Linked DNA regions of Anolis sagrei. The protein of the gene in region 2 binds, or shares a complex with, the protein of the main gene of each other region. Links are inferred from orthologs where the notes say so. Each region holds a gene or a part of one and is shown on either strand. Other genes may lie near its edges.

Region 1 (7,471 bases), on a different chromosome or scaffold from region 2:
GATATGCAGCTCCTTTGCCTTTAAGAGAGTTGACAAAGGAGGACAGTCAGCAGGAGCCACTGCCTGCCAGATCCTGTAACAGGACAGTCTGAAGTCCAATGTATTGTCAAAAGCTTTCATGGATGGAATCACTGGGTTGTTGTGAGTTTTCCAGGCTGTACGGTCATGTTCCAGAAGCATTCCCTCCTGATGTTACATGTGGGCGAAACGTAAAGAGAGAATGCTTCTGGAACATGGCCACACAGCCCAGACAACTCACAACAACCCAGTCTGAAGTCCTTTTCCCCTTAGTTATGAGATGCTTGGGGTCGACTTCTCCTAGGGCAGTGATTCCCAACCTCTAGTCCAGTGGCTCTAAACCTGTGGACCATGGACCTCGAGAGCGAAAATCTGGTCTGCAAACCTCCTTTTTATTTGCTTATTTTATTTCCGCTCCCTTCACGCTACCTGCCACTCCTTCCCTGTTGCTGACCATGGCATATGTTCTGTATCTGACGTGGTCTATCCAATGCGATTTTCTGAATTAGCACCCTGAACTGAATCTAAAATTGACCAAAAACCGATTCATAACCCTTTTAGTACTAACGTTGTTTAGTACTAATGTTGGAAAGTGGTCTCTAGTCAAGTATCCCCTGCTCAAGTTAAGGCTGGGAACTACTGCTAATACCTCCAGTGTTTTGGTCTTCAACCCTGAGTCCCCCTACGGGTTGAGAAGGGCGGGGGTAAAAAATGTTCAGAATAAATAAATAAATAAATAACCCAGAAGCCTTGGCTGCCATGGCCAATGTTCAGGGACTCTGGAATGTTAAGTTCAAAACATCTGGAAGACCCCAGGTATATAAAATAGGTTAAAAATCACACATTTACTGAAAATTAACAAGAATTTGCAAGACCTGCTAAAGAGGCTAGTTTTCCTTTTTTGTGGAGTCCAGCTCATGCATCCCGTCTGCAGGGTCCACTGTAAAGATGGCCCGTTGTTGCTGCTGACTAATTTATGTAAAGGGGCAATGATTGGAAACCTTTTACTGCTGCCAATTTTTTGCAACCCCAGCATTGAGCCAAGAAGAGGACCTCTTGGGATCAGGACCCATACTTTGAGGAGCGGTACTCTGTGTAGTGCAAGCATGGGCAAACTTGGATCCTCCAGGTGTTTTGGACTTTAACTCCCACCATTCTGAACGGCCTCAGCCCCCTTCCTTCCCCCCCCCCTTACCTGCTTAAGCTGAGGGGGGAAAGGAAGGGGCCTAAGGCTGTTAGGAATGGTGGTAGTTGAAGTCCAAAACATTTGGAGGGCCTAAGTTTGCCCATGCCTGTTAGATATACATAATGAGAAATCTTGGAGATGAGGCCCTAGGGCCCTTCCACACAGCCATATAACCCAAGTTTGCCCATGCCTGCCTAGTGGCTCCCAAGCATTGGTTCTCTGGGTGATTAGGGCTTCAATTGGCGAGATCAGGAACTCTGGTCTAGGCATGGGCAAACTTGGGCCCTCTAGGTGTTTTGGACTTCAAATCCCACCATTCCAAACAGTCTCAACCCCCTTCCTTTTCCCCCTCAGCTGCTTAAGCTTAAGCTGAGGGGGGAAAGGAAGGGGCCTAAGGCTGTTAGGAATGGTGGGATTTGAAGTCTAAAACACCTGGAGGGCTGAAGTTTGCCCATGCCAGTAATATATTTATGAGATACTAGCCGTCCCCTGCCATGCGTTGCTGTGGCCCAGTCTGTGTATATGTGTTTTGTGTGTATATATATGTGTATTTGTATATATGTGTGTGTTTGCGTAGATATGTGGTTTTGCACCCACGTTGGCAGTCTTTAGGAAGAACTTGAAGACCTGGCTATTCCGATGTGCCTTTCCAGAATAGGATAACCTCCAGCACTACGTCCCAGAAGCACTTTATTAGAGCTTAAAACTCTCTGCACATTGCACTTGCCCAGAATCCCAACATATCACCTCTTACACCCAGCACTTTTTTAACCTGTACCTTTCATTGGCCCGGCCCTGGTTTTATTGCGTAATAGTGTAATGTTTTGTTTTTGTTATTGCTTATGTTTTTAATTTGCTTGCATTGTATTGTTATTGTTTCTTGTTGTTGTTTGAGGCCTTGGCCTTTGTAAGCTGCATCGAGTCCTTCGGGAGATGCTAGCGGGGTACAAATAAAGTTTAATAATAATAATAATAATAATAATAATTTTGCGCATGTGTTGTAATGTATTTTTTGGTATTTAAAGTATTTTCCGCTGTGTTTTTCAGTGTTTTTATAAGTGATGGTTACTTGTTGGCCTGATAGGTGCATTGTGCCCAAACTTGGTGTCCATTCGCCCAGTGGTTTTTGAGTTAGGTTAATCCCACAAACGAACATTACATATTTATTTATATAGATCTTGGAGATGAGGCCTTGGGGCCTTTCCACACAGCCTGGTCTAGTTTACCCATACCTGTTAAGACATACATAATGAGATATCTTGGAGATGAGGCCCTAGGGCCCTTCCACACAGCCATATAACCCAAGTTTGCCCATGCCTGCCTAGTGGCTCCCAAGCATTGGTTCACTGAGTGATTCAATTGGCCAGATATCAGGAACTCTGATCTAGGCATGGACAAACTTGGGCCCTTCGGGTGTTTTGGACTTTAACTCCCACCACTCCTATCAGCCTCAGCTCCCTTCCTTTCCCCCCTCAGCTGAGGTCCAAAACAATCAAAACTGGGAAGCACAAGGCGGAAGTCCACAACCCCAACCTCCTGTCAGACAAGGAGGCCCAGCGTCCCCTTCGGAGACTGCAAGCTTGGCCTCTGCCAATGACAGAAGGGAGGGACAGCCCCGTCGGACTTCACCTCAAGGCCCAGGGCCGTTGGCGAGCAGGCCAGCCCTCCCCTTCCCCTTCCTCTCCCGGCACTCACAGCCCGTCTCCTTCTTGATCTCCTCGATCTCCTCGTCCCTCAGCAGCGTGGACGCCCGGGAGCCCATGGCGGCCGCCTCGAATCGCAACCAGCCTCCGAAGGCAGCGCGCGCGCGTGCGTCTTCTCTCGGCCTAGCAGCCGGGGGCGCGCGGGCGGTGCGAGGGAGGGAAGGAAGGGACGCGCGAGCGGCGCACCGCCAACCAGCTGAGCGTGTGACGTCCCGCCGAGAGCAGAGCCTCCAACCGCCAGGGCGCGCGCCGCTCCCTTTTATAACCTCTTCCCCGCCTGCGCAGAGCAACGCCGACTTCGCGCCTGCGCAGAGCAACACTTCGGCGCCCTCGGCTCCTGGCGGGCGGAGTTTCTCCTGCGCGAGGTGGATGGGACGCGCGTCCTCTTGAGAAATTGAGCCTCGTCTTGTACAGCTCTAGTTGTTTTTAACTTGTATGTTTCGAAATAAGCCTGAGGCCTTTAAGAAATTTTGCCCTTTTTTTCTGGTTGGCCTCACTAGGGCATAGACTACAGCAGGCATGGGCAAACTTGGGCCCTCCAGGTGTTTTGGGCTTCAGCTCCCACCATTCCTAACAGCCTCAGGCCCATTCCTGAAAGGAATGGCCCTGAAAGGAATGGGCCTGAGGCTGTTAGGAATGGTGGGAGCTGAAGCCCAAAACACCTGGAGGGCCCAAGTTTGCCCGTGCCTATACTACAGTCTTACTGGTTGTTTCTTAGGTGCTGTTTCTGTGGGCTGTCTTGTAAATATTGGGTCTAAGCTTAAATATCATAAAGTCACACTGTCCTGCTTGGCCTTGAAGGCTAAGTAGGGTCAGGTTTGGTTAAGCTCTTGGGTGGGAGGCCACCCATTAATTCCAGGTGGTGTAGGCCATATTTGACAGGAAAGAACTGGCAAAACTGAATATCCCTTGCCCAAGAAAACAGTGGGGTAGCCATAGGTCAGTGGGCAACTTGAAGGCACAAACATCCATAGGTCAGTGGGCAGCTTGAAGGCACAAATATACACATTAGACCAGGGGTCCTCAAACTAAGGCCCAGGGGCCGGATGCGGCCCTCCAAGGTCATTTACCCGGCCCTCGCTCAGGGTCAATCTAAGTCTGAAACGACTTGAAAGCACATAACAATCCTATCTCATGAGCCAGAAGCAGGCCCACACTTCCCATTGAGATACCAAAAAGTTTATATTTGTTAAATTGTTCTTCATTTTAATTATTGTATTGTTTTAAGTGATTTTTGCATTACAAATAAGATATGTGGTGTGCATAGGAATTCATGGTTTTTTCAAATTATAATCCGGCCCTCCATCAGTTTGAGGAACTGTGACCTGGCCCTCTGTTTAAAGTTTGTGGACCCCTGCATTAGATGATTGCTGCAAATACAGATATATTTATTTATTTATGACATTAATATGCCGCCCTTCTCACTACGAAGGGGACTCAGAGCGGTTTACAAGATATTTATACATACAATATATTATATTATTAGCATAGTACATATTATTATATTGTGCTACACCATTATATTGTATTGTTATTAGTAATATTGCATGTAATATAAATATATAATTATAATAGCATATTAGTATTATTTTGTATTACATTATAATATAAATATTATATGTATATACAATACAGTATATTACATTATATTATATTATTAGCATAGCACAGGAGACAACGTGGAACTGTCTTCTGCCCTCCTCTCTTCACTCTGGCCCAAAGTGGCAGTTGGTGCTGGGGGAGCGGTCCCCAACTGATGGCATATGCAGGAGGCAAGATGGATCTGTCCTCTGGCCTCCCCTCTCTTCAAGTCATATGTGTGCATATGTCTCTTCTTGGATGGAACACAGGACGCGGAACAATGGCATCAAACTACAAGAACAGAGATTCCATCTGAACATTAGGAAGAACTTCCTGACTGTGAGAGCCGTTCAGCAGTGGAACTCTCTGCCCTGGAGTGTGGTGGAGGCTCCTTCTATGGAAGCTTTTAAACAGGCTGGATGGCCATTTGTCAGGGGTGCTTTGAATGCAATATTCCTGCTTCTTGGCAGGGGGTTGGACTGGATGGCCCATGAGGTCTCTTCCAACTCTATGATTCTTCAAGGCATTACTCTATAGCCCTGTGCACAACATCATTAAATCCGTGCCCTGCAATATATCTGTTTGTCTAACAAGTTCCAGGGTGGTAGAACATAAAGCAGACTGGCTGCTGGAGTATCAGGATGCTTCTTCCAAATGGGACTGATATGTGTAACGCAGGGGGCCTCATACTTTTAAAGCAGAGGGCCAATTCATTGTCCCTAAGACTTGGGGAATGACGACTATATTTTGAGAAAAACATGGACAAATTCCTATGAACACTGCAGATAAATTATTTGTACTGCAAAATACATGAAAGAACAATGCAGTATTTAAAATGAGGAACAATTTTAACCAACAAACTTACCAGTATTTCAATGGGAAAGGTGGGCCTGCTTTTGGCTGATCAGATAGCCAAGTTAATTCAGGTTGTTGTTGTTGTTGTGTGACTTGAAGTTGTTTCAGATTTAGGGTGATCCTAAGTCCAAAGTTTAGACCAGGGGCTGAGTAAATGACCTTGGAGGGCCGCATCCAGCCCACGGGCCTTAGTTTGAGAACCCCTGATGTAAAGTATATGAGATTCCTCTTTTGATGACCTTCCACCTTTTCCAATTGTGGTTGGTTTTGCAGCAAGAGCTGCTTGCTTTTGCCCTTTTCCAGTGCCTTGGTCTTGCCTGACTGATTTTTATTCTTCAGCCTTTCTATCTTTATATTAAAATAAAAGGGATCCTTTTGGTAAAAAAAAAAAAGACACAAACATCCAATTTAAGAAAAAATACATGTTTTCCCCCCATTGAACCTATAGGAATAGTTTAAGAGGAAGGAATTGGTATATCCGCCTTTGTCTATTCTTAGCCTATGAAAACAACAGGAAAGCAATAAATTTTTAGGCAACTTGAAAATATTTCCATAGATACAAAAAGCAAATGAAAACGATGGCTGAAAAATGGGGTATAGAAATAAAGCAAATAAATAAATAAAACCACCTCTGAGTATTCCTACCCTAAGAGAACCCTGTGAAATTGTTTGGGGTTACATATATGCACATGCTTGTTGGAATGGAAGTCAATGTGCACCATTACTCGGGTGCCCAAGATGGTGTTAAAACGTCTTGAACAGAAGGTGATTGGTCTTGACCTGAGAAAAATTGTCAGCTCAGGCTATATAAGCCCTTTAATCTCCCTCTGTTAGCAGGTGGTGTGCTCTTTTAGAAACAAACAAGTTTTCAAAGCAAATTGTAGTTATTTTTAAATGACCTAGACTCAGATATCGAACTGATGCAGTTTAAAGACATTGGCAGTAAACTTTCTTTTCCTCTTCTAACCTAAGGGGCAAGTTTTCCAAATCAAAATTATTCTGAATTGAGGAATTGCCTACTTTAATCATAGTCAGCTTAAGAAAGTATGCCTGTTTTGCTTTTCCTGCCACATGTATGACTGGCTGTAGCAGTCGTAAACACCCAGGCTAGGGAACAATTCCTAATTAACTTAATAAGGTTCATATGTAGGAAAACATTCTCAGGATAGTGTTATAATTGTGATGAGTATACCAAAGTACAGTGCAGTGTCATATACAACTTGTAATTATTCTGATAGACCTGGAGTATTCTGAAAGTCTTTAATGGCTCTGTCCCACCTCCCTTTCCACCTGGTCTTGATTTTTGGACATGAATAAAGTAGATTTATTTTTTTGTAGTGAATCATCTAATTCTCTGATAACGACAAGGTTTCACCCTGTCCCAACCTAACATACTGTGCTAAAGTTCAAGAATTCTTTCTGTTTAGGCAGTAGGGGAAAGGAGATTCCTGGAACTGAGAGCTGCTTGCAGTCATCTAGCTGAAATGGGACAATTTTCCCATGAACTCTATTTTTAAAGTTAAATTCTTTGTTGCTTACCATTTTACATGTCTAGCTGAGCTCTACTTTTAAAAGCTTGTAGTTTAAACAAAGAGCAGTGTAAGTGGCTGAAAGACCAGTTTCTGTGAACCACTATTGAGCTCTATTTCCTTTTCGTATGTATAGCAGACTGATCTTGCTGGCTTCAAAATGACAATTTTTTAAACTTATTTTTTTTGTAATTAAAAAAATACAACTCACACCTTCCCTATAAAAATAAAACAAACACGGACACTATAATAAAATGCATAAAACAGTCTCCCGATCTTCCCTTCCTGTAGCTTTCCTTCCACCATTGTATCACTTTGCTTTAAAAATAGCATTAAAATGACAATCTTGTTTGATTATTCCTCCATAAACGTTTGCAATGAATATGAGTAGAGGGAAAGGAGAGAAGATTTATTGTGCTCTGTAGTTGCTTATACTGAAAGGTTGTGTGTCATTATGCATACAATTGAACTTAATGGAATGGCAAACCTTTCAAATGAGAGACATTCCTAATAGTCACAACCTTCTTGCATGCATGCCTGGAGGTTGAAACGACTCCTAACTCTAGTCTGTTTAGGTTGTTCTGCAACCTACAGAAAGC
Region 2 (7,812 bases):
GCCTGGGATGGTCTTAAGGCAGCATTTCTCAGCTTGGGGGTCGGGACCCCTGGGGAGGTCACGAGGGGGTGTCGGAAGGGTTGCAAAAGACCATCAGAATTAAAAAAAAAAGAAAACACAGTAATTTTTGTTGACCATGGGGATTCTGTGTGGGAAGTTTAGCCTGATTCTATCGTTGGTGGGGTTCAGAAGGTTCTTTGATTGTAGGTGAACTATAAATCCCAGTAACAACAACTCCCCAATGTCAAGGTCTATTTCACCCAAACTCCATATGTGTTCATATTTGAGCATATGGAGTATTCATAGCAAGTTTGGTCTAGATCCTTCATTGTTTGAGTCCACAGTGCGCTCTGGATGTAGGTGAATTACAACTCCCAAACTCAAGGTAAATGCCCACCAAACCCTTCTGTTTTCTGTTGGTCATGGATGAACTGTGTGCCAGGTTCCATCAATTCCATCATTTGTGGCGTTTGGAATGCTCTGATTGTAGGTGAACTATAAATCCCAGCAACTACAATTCCCAAATGACAAAATCATATTTTTGAGTGATGGTCACTTGGCCTGATAGGTGTATAGCAGGGGTCCTCAAACTCTTTAAACAAAGGGCCATGTCACAGTCCCTCAAAGTGTTGGAAGGCCGTATTATAATTTGAAAAAAACACAAATGAATTCCCATGCTTTTGGCTGATGAGATAGGATTGTTGTTGTTGTTGTTGTGTGCTTTCAAGTTGTTTCCGGCGTAGGTTGACCCTGAGCGAGGGCTGGGTAAATGACCTTGGAGGGTCGTATCCGGTCCCCGGGTCTTAGTTTGAGGACCCCTGGTGTATAGTGTCCAAATTTGGTGTCAATTCGTCCAGTGGTTTTTGAGTTATTTTAATCCCACAAATGGAACATCACATTTTTATTTATATAGATTCATAGAATCAAAGAATCAAAGAGTTGGAAGAGACCTCATGGGCCATCCAGTCCAATCCCCCACCAAAAAGCAGGAAAATTACATTCAAAGCAAGCCTGACAGATGGCCATCCAGCCTCTGTTTAAAAGCTTCCAAAGAAGGAGCCTCCACCACAGTATGGGACAGAGAGTTCCACTGCTGAACGGCTCTCACAGTCAGGAAGTTCTTCCTAATGTTCAGACGGAATCTCCTTTCTTGTAGTTTGAAGCCATTGCTCCATTGCGTCCTTCTCTCCAGGGAAGCAGAAAACAGCTTGCTTCCTCCTCCCTATTTTTTACAGCATTTATATGCTGCCTTCTCACCCCAAAGGGGACTCAGAGCGGCTTAAAAGATATATTTTCATACAATATATTATATTATTAGCATAGTACAATATCAGTATTATATATTACTATAGTTATACATGGCTATCATGTCTCCTCTCAGCCTTCTCTTCTTCAGGCTAAACATGCCCAGCTCTTTGAGCTGCTCCTCATAGGGCTTGTTCTCCAGACCCTTGATCATTTTAGTCGCCCTCCTCTGGACACATTCCAGCTTGTCAATATCTCTCTTCAATTGTGGTGCCCAGAATTGGACACAAGGTGTGGCCCAACCAAGGCAGAATAGAGGGGTAGCATTACTTCCCTAGATCTACTATGCTCCTATTGATGCAGGCCAAAATCCCATTGGCTTTTTTTTGCTGCTACATCACATTGTTGGCTCATGTTTAACTTGTTGTCCATGAGGACTCCAAGATCTTTTTCACACGTACTGCTCTCGAGCCAGGCATCCCCCATTCTGTATCTTTGCATTTCATTTTTTCTGCCTAAGTGGAGTATCTTGCATTTGTCACTGTTGAACTTCATTTTGTTAGTTTTGGCCCATCTCTCTAATCTGTCAAGATCGTTTTGAATCCTGCTCCTGTCCTCTGGAGTATTGGCTATCCCTCCCAATTTGGTGTCATCTGCAAACTTGATGATCATGCCTTCTAACCCTTCATCTAAGTCATTAATAAAGATGTTGAACAGGACCGGGCCCAGGACGGATCCCTGCTGATGGCACTCCACTCATCACTTCTTTGCAGGATGAAGAGGAAGCATTGGTGAGCACCCTCTGGGTTTGTCTGCTTAACCAATTACAGATCCATCTAACTGTAGTTTTGCCTAGCCCACATTGGACTAGTTTCCTTGCCAGAAGGTCATGGGGGACCTTGTCGAAGGCCTTACTGAAATCCAGGTACGCTACATCCACGGCATTCCCCGCATCTACCCAGCTTGTAACTCTATCAAAAAAAGAGATCAGATTAGTCTGGCATGAGCCAACGATGTGATGTGGCAGTAAAAAAAGCCAATGGGATTTTGGCCTGCATCAATAGGAGCATAGTGTCTAGGTCCAGGGAAGTCATGCTACCCCTCTATTCCGCTTTGGTTAGACCACACCTGGAATATTGTGTCCAATTCTGGGCACCACAATTGAAGAGAGATTGACAAGCTGGAATGTGTCCAGTCCAGAGGAGGGTGACTAAAATGATAAAGGGTCTGGAGAACAAGCCTTATGAGGAGCGGCTCAAAGAGCTGGGCATGTTTAGCCTGAAGAAGAGAATGCTGAGAGGAGATATGATAGCCAAGCCATGTATAAATATGTGAGAAGAAGCCACAGGGAGGAGGGTGCAAGCTTGTTTTCTGCTTCCCTGGAGACTAGGACGTGGAACAATTGCTTCAAACTACAAGAAAGGAGGTTCCATCTGAACATGAGGAAGAACTTCCTGACTGTGAGAGCCATTCGACAGTGGAACTCTCTGCCCCGGAATGTGGTGGAGGCTCCTTCTTTGGAAGCTTTTAAGCAGAGGCTGGATGGCCATCTGTCAGGGGTGATTTGAATGCAATATTCCTGCTTCTTGGCAAAGAGGTTGGACTGGATGGCCCATGAGGTCCCTTCCAACTCTTTGATTCTATGATTCTATGACTCAAGCAATGATGGATCTGGACCAAACTTGTCACGAATATTCCATATGCCCAAATATGAACACAGATGGAGTTTGGGGGAAATAGACCTTCGCATTTGGGAGTTTTAGTTACTGGGATTTATAGTTCACCTACAATCAAAGAGCATTCTGAATGAACCCCATGAATGACAGAATTGGGGCAAACTTCCCACACAGAACCTCCATGACCAACAGAAAATACTTAAGGCCATCCAATCCAATTCTCCTCTCCCTAATTCGCAGGGTGGGCCAAGGGGCCCGCCCGCTTCGGGTCCGGAGGCGTGTCTGAAGACCTCAGTGTGCGCACCAAGAGTTGCCTCTTCTCCTGACTTTCTCTTCAGCCATTGGGACCAAGAGAGAGAGAGAGCCCCTCCGGCTGGAGGTATCTCCCACCTCCGCTCCCTACTTTGTTTTTGCACCTACCTTCAGGAAAGGTGGGCATCTCCACCTCTGTCTCTCTCTCTCTCTTGGTTCCAATGGCTGAGGAGAGAGTCAGGCGAAGAGATGACTTTTGGTGCACACGCCGGGGTCTTCAGGCACGCCTCCGGACCCAAAGCGGGCCAGGCAAGGGAGCAAGTGTGGCAAGTGTAGTTACTGGGATGTATAGTTCACCTACAATCAAAGAGCATTCTGAACTCCACCAATGATGGAATTGAACCAAATATGGCACACATAACTCCCACGATGGACAGAAAATATATATCAATGATTGGTTGGGGGGGGGGGGGGTGCGCCAAAATACTGTTTGCTTACCGTTGAAAATTACCTTAGGGCCGCCTCTGCTTGTTCTCCAGACCCTTGATCATTTTAGTCGCCCTCCTCTGGACACATTCCAGCTTGTCAATATCTCTCTTCAATTGTGGTGCCCAGAATTGGACACAATGAGGAGGAACTTCCTGACTGTGAGAGCCGTTCAGCAGTGGAACTCTCTGCCCCGGAGTGTGGTGGAGGCTCCTTCTTTGTAAGCTTTTAAACAGAGGCTGGATGGCCATCTGTCAGGGGTGCTTTGAATGCAATATTCCTGCTTCTTGCCAGGGGGTTGGACTGGATGGCCCATGAGGTCTCTTCCAACTCTTTGATTCTATGATTCTATGTTCAGATGGAATCTCCTTTCTCTAGTTTGAAGCCATCGTTTCGCATCCTAGTCTCCAAGGAAGCAGAAAACAAGCTTGGTCCCTCCTCCCTGTGGCTTCCTCTCACATATTTATACATGGCTATCATATCTCCTCTCAGCCTTCTCTTCTTCAAGGTAAACATGCCCAGCTCCTTAAGACACTCCTCATAGGGCTTGTTCTCCAGACCCTTGATCATTTTAGTCGCCCTCCTCTGGACACATTCCAGCTTGTCAATATCTCTCTTCAATTGTGGTGCCCAGAATTGGACACAATGAGGAGGAACTTCCTGACTGTGAGAGCCGTTCAGCAGTGGAACTCTCTGCCCCAGAGTGTGGTGGAGGCTCCTTCTTTGGAAACTTTTAAACAGAGGCTGGATGGCCATCTGTCAGGGGTGCTTTGAATGCAATATTCCTGCTTCTTGGCAGGGGGTTGGATTAGATGGCCCATGAGGTCTCTTCCAACTCTTTGATTCTATGATTCTATGGTTCTATGTGTGTCTTGATGCCAATGATTTGTTGTTTGGGTTTGTTTCCTTGCCCCCTTTGGCCCTGAATGTTTGCCCTTCTGGAAACCGCCCTGAGTCCCCCCCGGGGAGATAGAGCGGGTTACAAATCAAGGAGGCTGATAGGCCGGCCCTTTGGAGGGTGGCTCCGCCCCTGTGTGCCCCGAGGGGACGGGCGGAGGGGCTGAGCAAAGGCATAAAGGCGCCTCCACCTCCAGCCTGGCTGCTGCTGCTGCTGCTTCTCCATCTCCTCCGCCCTCGAAGCCCTCGAAGCGCGCCTCCTCCACCAAGAGAGCGCCGCCGCTCCGTGCCGCGCACCAAGCGGGCGAGTCTGCTCAGGAACCACCACCACCAGCAGCAGCTGCTGCAGCACCTTTGGGTCTTGAGCAGGATGAGCCTGGCGCGCCCTTGGGGGGCTCTGGTGGGGCTGGCCCTCCTCCCCCTCCTCCTCCTCTTGCCCTCCGCCTCGGCATCGGAAGAGGGCCCGCCTGACCCCGAGCCGGAGGGCTACCAAGTCGTCACCTTCAAATGGCACCACGTCCAGGACCCATACATCATCGCCCTCTGGATCCTGGTGGCCAGCGTGGCCAAGATCTGTGAGTCCAAAACATTTTTTTCCCCACCTCTTAATCTTAATCTTTGCTGTGAGTTTTGCGGACTGTATAGCTATGTCCCAGTAGCACTCTCTCCCGACGTTTCGCCTGCATCTGTGCCTGGCATGCACAGAGTTTTGTTGGCAATGGGGCAAGTATTTATTTATTTGTCGTGTCAGAGCAACCAGTCCATTATATTACATTTCTAACAGAACAGAGCAAACAAACAGACAAATACAAAACTTGTGAATTTGGTAGTTGGTTAAATGTCCTTAAATGGGGCAAGTGTGTATGTCTAGCTATTTATATCAGTGGGAGAAATTACTCTTGTCTGTTGTGAATGTAGCAATTGAAGGCCCTTCCAGACAAGCCCTACATCCCAGGATCTGGCTTCAAACTACAAGAGAGGAGATTCCATCTGAACATGAGGAAGAACTTCCTGACTGTGAGAGCCGTTCAGCAGTGGAACTCTCTGCCCCGGAGAGTGGTGGAGGCTCCTTCTTTGGAAGCTTTTAAACAGAGGCTGGATGGCCATTTGTCAGGGGTGATTTGAATGCAATATTCCTGCTTCTTGGCAGGGGGTTGGACTGGATGGCCCATGAGGTCTCTTCCAACTCTTTGATTCTATGATTCTATGATCTGATCCCAGGTTTTAAGAATTAATAACAGACAGGCATGTAGCGGGGGGGGGGGGGCCTTGAGGGGCTTCAGCCCCCTCCCCCCGAAATTCTCGTGGTGGTTCGCGAAAAGGCCTTACTGGTGCATTATTTAAACTGTTATGTTTATTCATATCATGATCTGATCACCCTACTCAATATATCCCATATGCATGGGGGTATTGGGGTAATGATACAAAAGGTTTGCTAGGCTAGACCCTCTTTCACTCAGACTCATCCCCCCAAAACTCCCCCCTGAAAAAAATTCACCCCCCCCCCCCCCGAAACGAAATCCTGGCCTGTCTGTTGTGAATGTAGCAATTGAAGGCCCTTCCAGACAAGCCCTACATCCCAGGATCTGATCCCAGGTTTTAAGAATTAATAACAACAGAGAGTAAACAATCAGGCGCATCAAATCACCCCTCAAAGAAAGATTCCCCCAGGCACTTCCAAGCCATTAAATGCTAATCAAGGTGGTCAGTTTTTATTTATTTATTTATTTAAAAGTTTTGTATATCGACCTTCTCACCTCTCTTGAGAGACTCAGACCAGTTTCCAACCATAATATCACATACAGTCAATAAAAACATCATAATTCATATTCCAGTAAAACTATTAAAATAGCAATTACATTCAATAACTACAATGATTGAAACAGTTGAAACATTCACACCTAGCTCCAGCAGACAAAAGTCCTTTGCCCCACCCTGGTCTTTCCACAGATATATAAACCCATTTTCCTACTTCCAACAGACCTCACTACCTCTGAGGATGCTTGCCATAGATGCAGGTGAAACGTCAGGAGAGAATGCCTCTAGAACATGGTCATATAGCCCGGAAAACCTACAACAACCCAATAATAATAATAATAATAATAATAATAATATTTATTTACTAGCTGTCCCCTGCTACGCGTTGCTGTGGCCCAGTCTGGAAAATAAAGTAATGAGAAAGTGTTGGCTTCTAATATATGTAATGTCTTGATGCTTGTGAGTAAACAGTATTTCTTGCTGTATTGTCGAAGGCTTTCATGGCCAGAATCACTGGGTTGTTGTAGTTTTTTTCGGGCTATATGGCCATAATCTAGACAGGCATGTAGCCGGGAGGGGGGGGGGGGGCTTGAGGGGCTTCAGCCCCCCCCCCCCCCCGAAATTCTCATGGTGGTTCGCGAAAAGGCCTTACTGGTGCATTATTTAAACTGTTATGTTTATTCATATCATGATCTGATCACCATAATCAATATATGGGGTAATGATACAAAAGGTTTGCTAGGCTAGACCCTCTTTCACTCAGACTCAGCCCCCCCTGAAAGTCAGCCCCCCCCCAAAACTTCCCCCTGAAAAAAATTCACTCACCCCCACCACCACCCCCGAAACGAAATCCTGGCTATGGGCCTGTCTGTTGTGAATGTAGCAATTGAAGACCCTTCCAGACAAACCCTACATCCCAGGATCTGATCCCAGGTTTTAAGAATTAATAACAACAGAGAGTAAACAATCAGGCACATCAAATCACCTCTCAAAGAAAGATTCCCCCAGGCACTTCCAAGCCATTAAATGCTAATCAAGGTGGTCAACTGAAACATTCACACCTAGCTCCAGCAGACAAAAGTCCTTTGTCCTACCCTGGTCTTTCCACAGATATAGGTAAAGGTTGTCCCCTGACATTAACTCCAGTCATGTCTGACTCTGGGGTGTGGTGCTCATCTCCATTTCTAAGCCGAAGAGCCAGCGTTGTCCATAGACACCTCCAAGGTCATGTGGCCAGCATGACAGCATGGAGCGCCGTTATATAAACCCATTTTCCTACTTCCAACAGACCTCTCTGAGGATGCTTGCCATAGATGCAGGCGAAATGTCAGGAGAGAATGCCTCTAGAACATGGCCATATAGCCCGGAAAACCTACAACAACCCAATAATAATAATAATAATAATAATAATAATAATAATAATATTATTTATTTACTAGCTGTCCCCTGCCACGCGTTGCTGTGGCCCAGTCTGGAAAATAAAGTAATGAGAAAGTGT

Evidence for each region. The genes of interacting proteins can lie anywhere in the genome.
Region 1: the proteins of SLC9A3 (region 2) and CHP1 are in contact, whole or in part, in a cryo-EM structure (PDB 7X2U), measured with the Homo sapiens proteins. The link is inferred for Anolis sagrei from reciprocal best matches to the Homo sapiens genes SLC9A3 and CHP1. Residues at the interface, in NP_004165.2 of Homo sapiens: Tyr396, Arg397, Met398, Gln400, Glu402, Arg474, Leu475, Asn476, Glu477, Leu479, His480, Gly481, Arg482, Ala483, Phe484, Asp485, His486, Ile487, Leu488, Ser489, Ala490, Ile491, Glu492, Asp493, Ile494, Ser495, Gly496, Gln497, Asn501, Arg504; in NP_009167.1 of Homo sapiens: Arg30, Leu31, Arg34, Leu38, Lys40, Glu49, Phe51, Gln52, Arg53, Ile54, Glu56, Leu57, Ala58, Ile59, Asn60, Pro61, Leu62, Asp64, Ile66, Phe70, Phe83, Leu87, Phe90, Leu115, Phe117, Ala118, Leu121, Tyr122, Leu135, Leu139.

The regions. Positions count from the first base shown.
Region 1 is NC_090021.1:288,858,273-288,865,743, forward strand, and holds the start of CHP1 (calcineurin B homologous protein 1), read right to left. Parts: upstream 3,062-7,471; 5' UTR 2,967-3,061; coding exon 2,900-2,966; intron 1-2,899. UniProt on the Homo sapiens protein: Calcium-binding protein involved in different processes such as regulation of vesicular trafficking, plasma membrane Na(+)/H(+) exchanger and gene transcription. Involved in the constitutive exocytic membrane traffic.
Region 2 is NC_090026.1:59,984,806-59,992,617, reverse strand, and holds the start of SLC9A3 (sodium/hydrogen exchanger 3), read left to right. Parts: upstream 1-4,802; 5' UTR 4,803-4,926; coding exon 4,927-5,131; intron 5,132-7,812. UniProt on the Homo sapiens protein: Plasma membrane Na(+)/H(+) antiporter. Exchanges intracellular H(+) ions for extracellular Na(+) in 1:1 stoichiometry, playing a key role in salt and fluid absorption and pH homeostasis.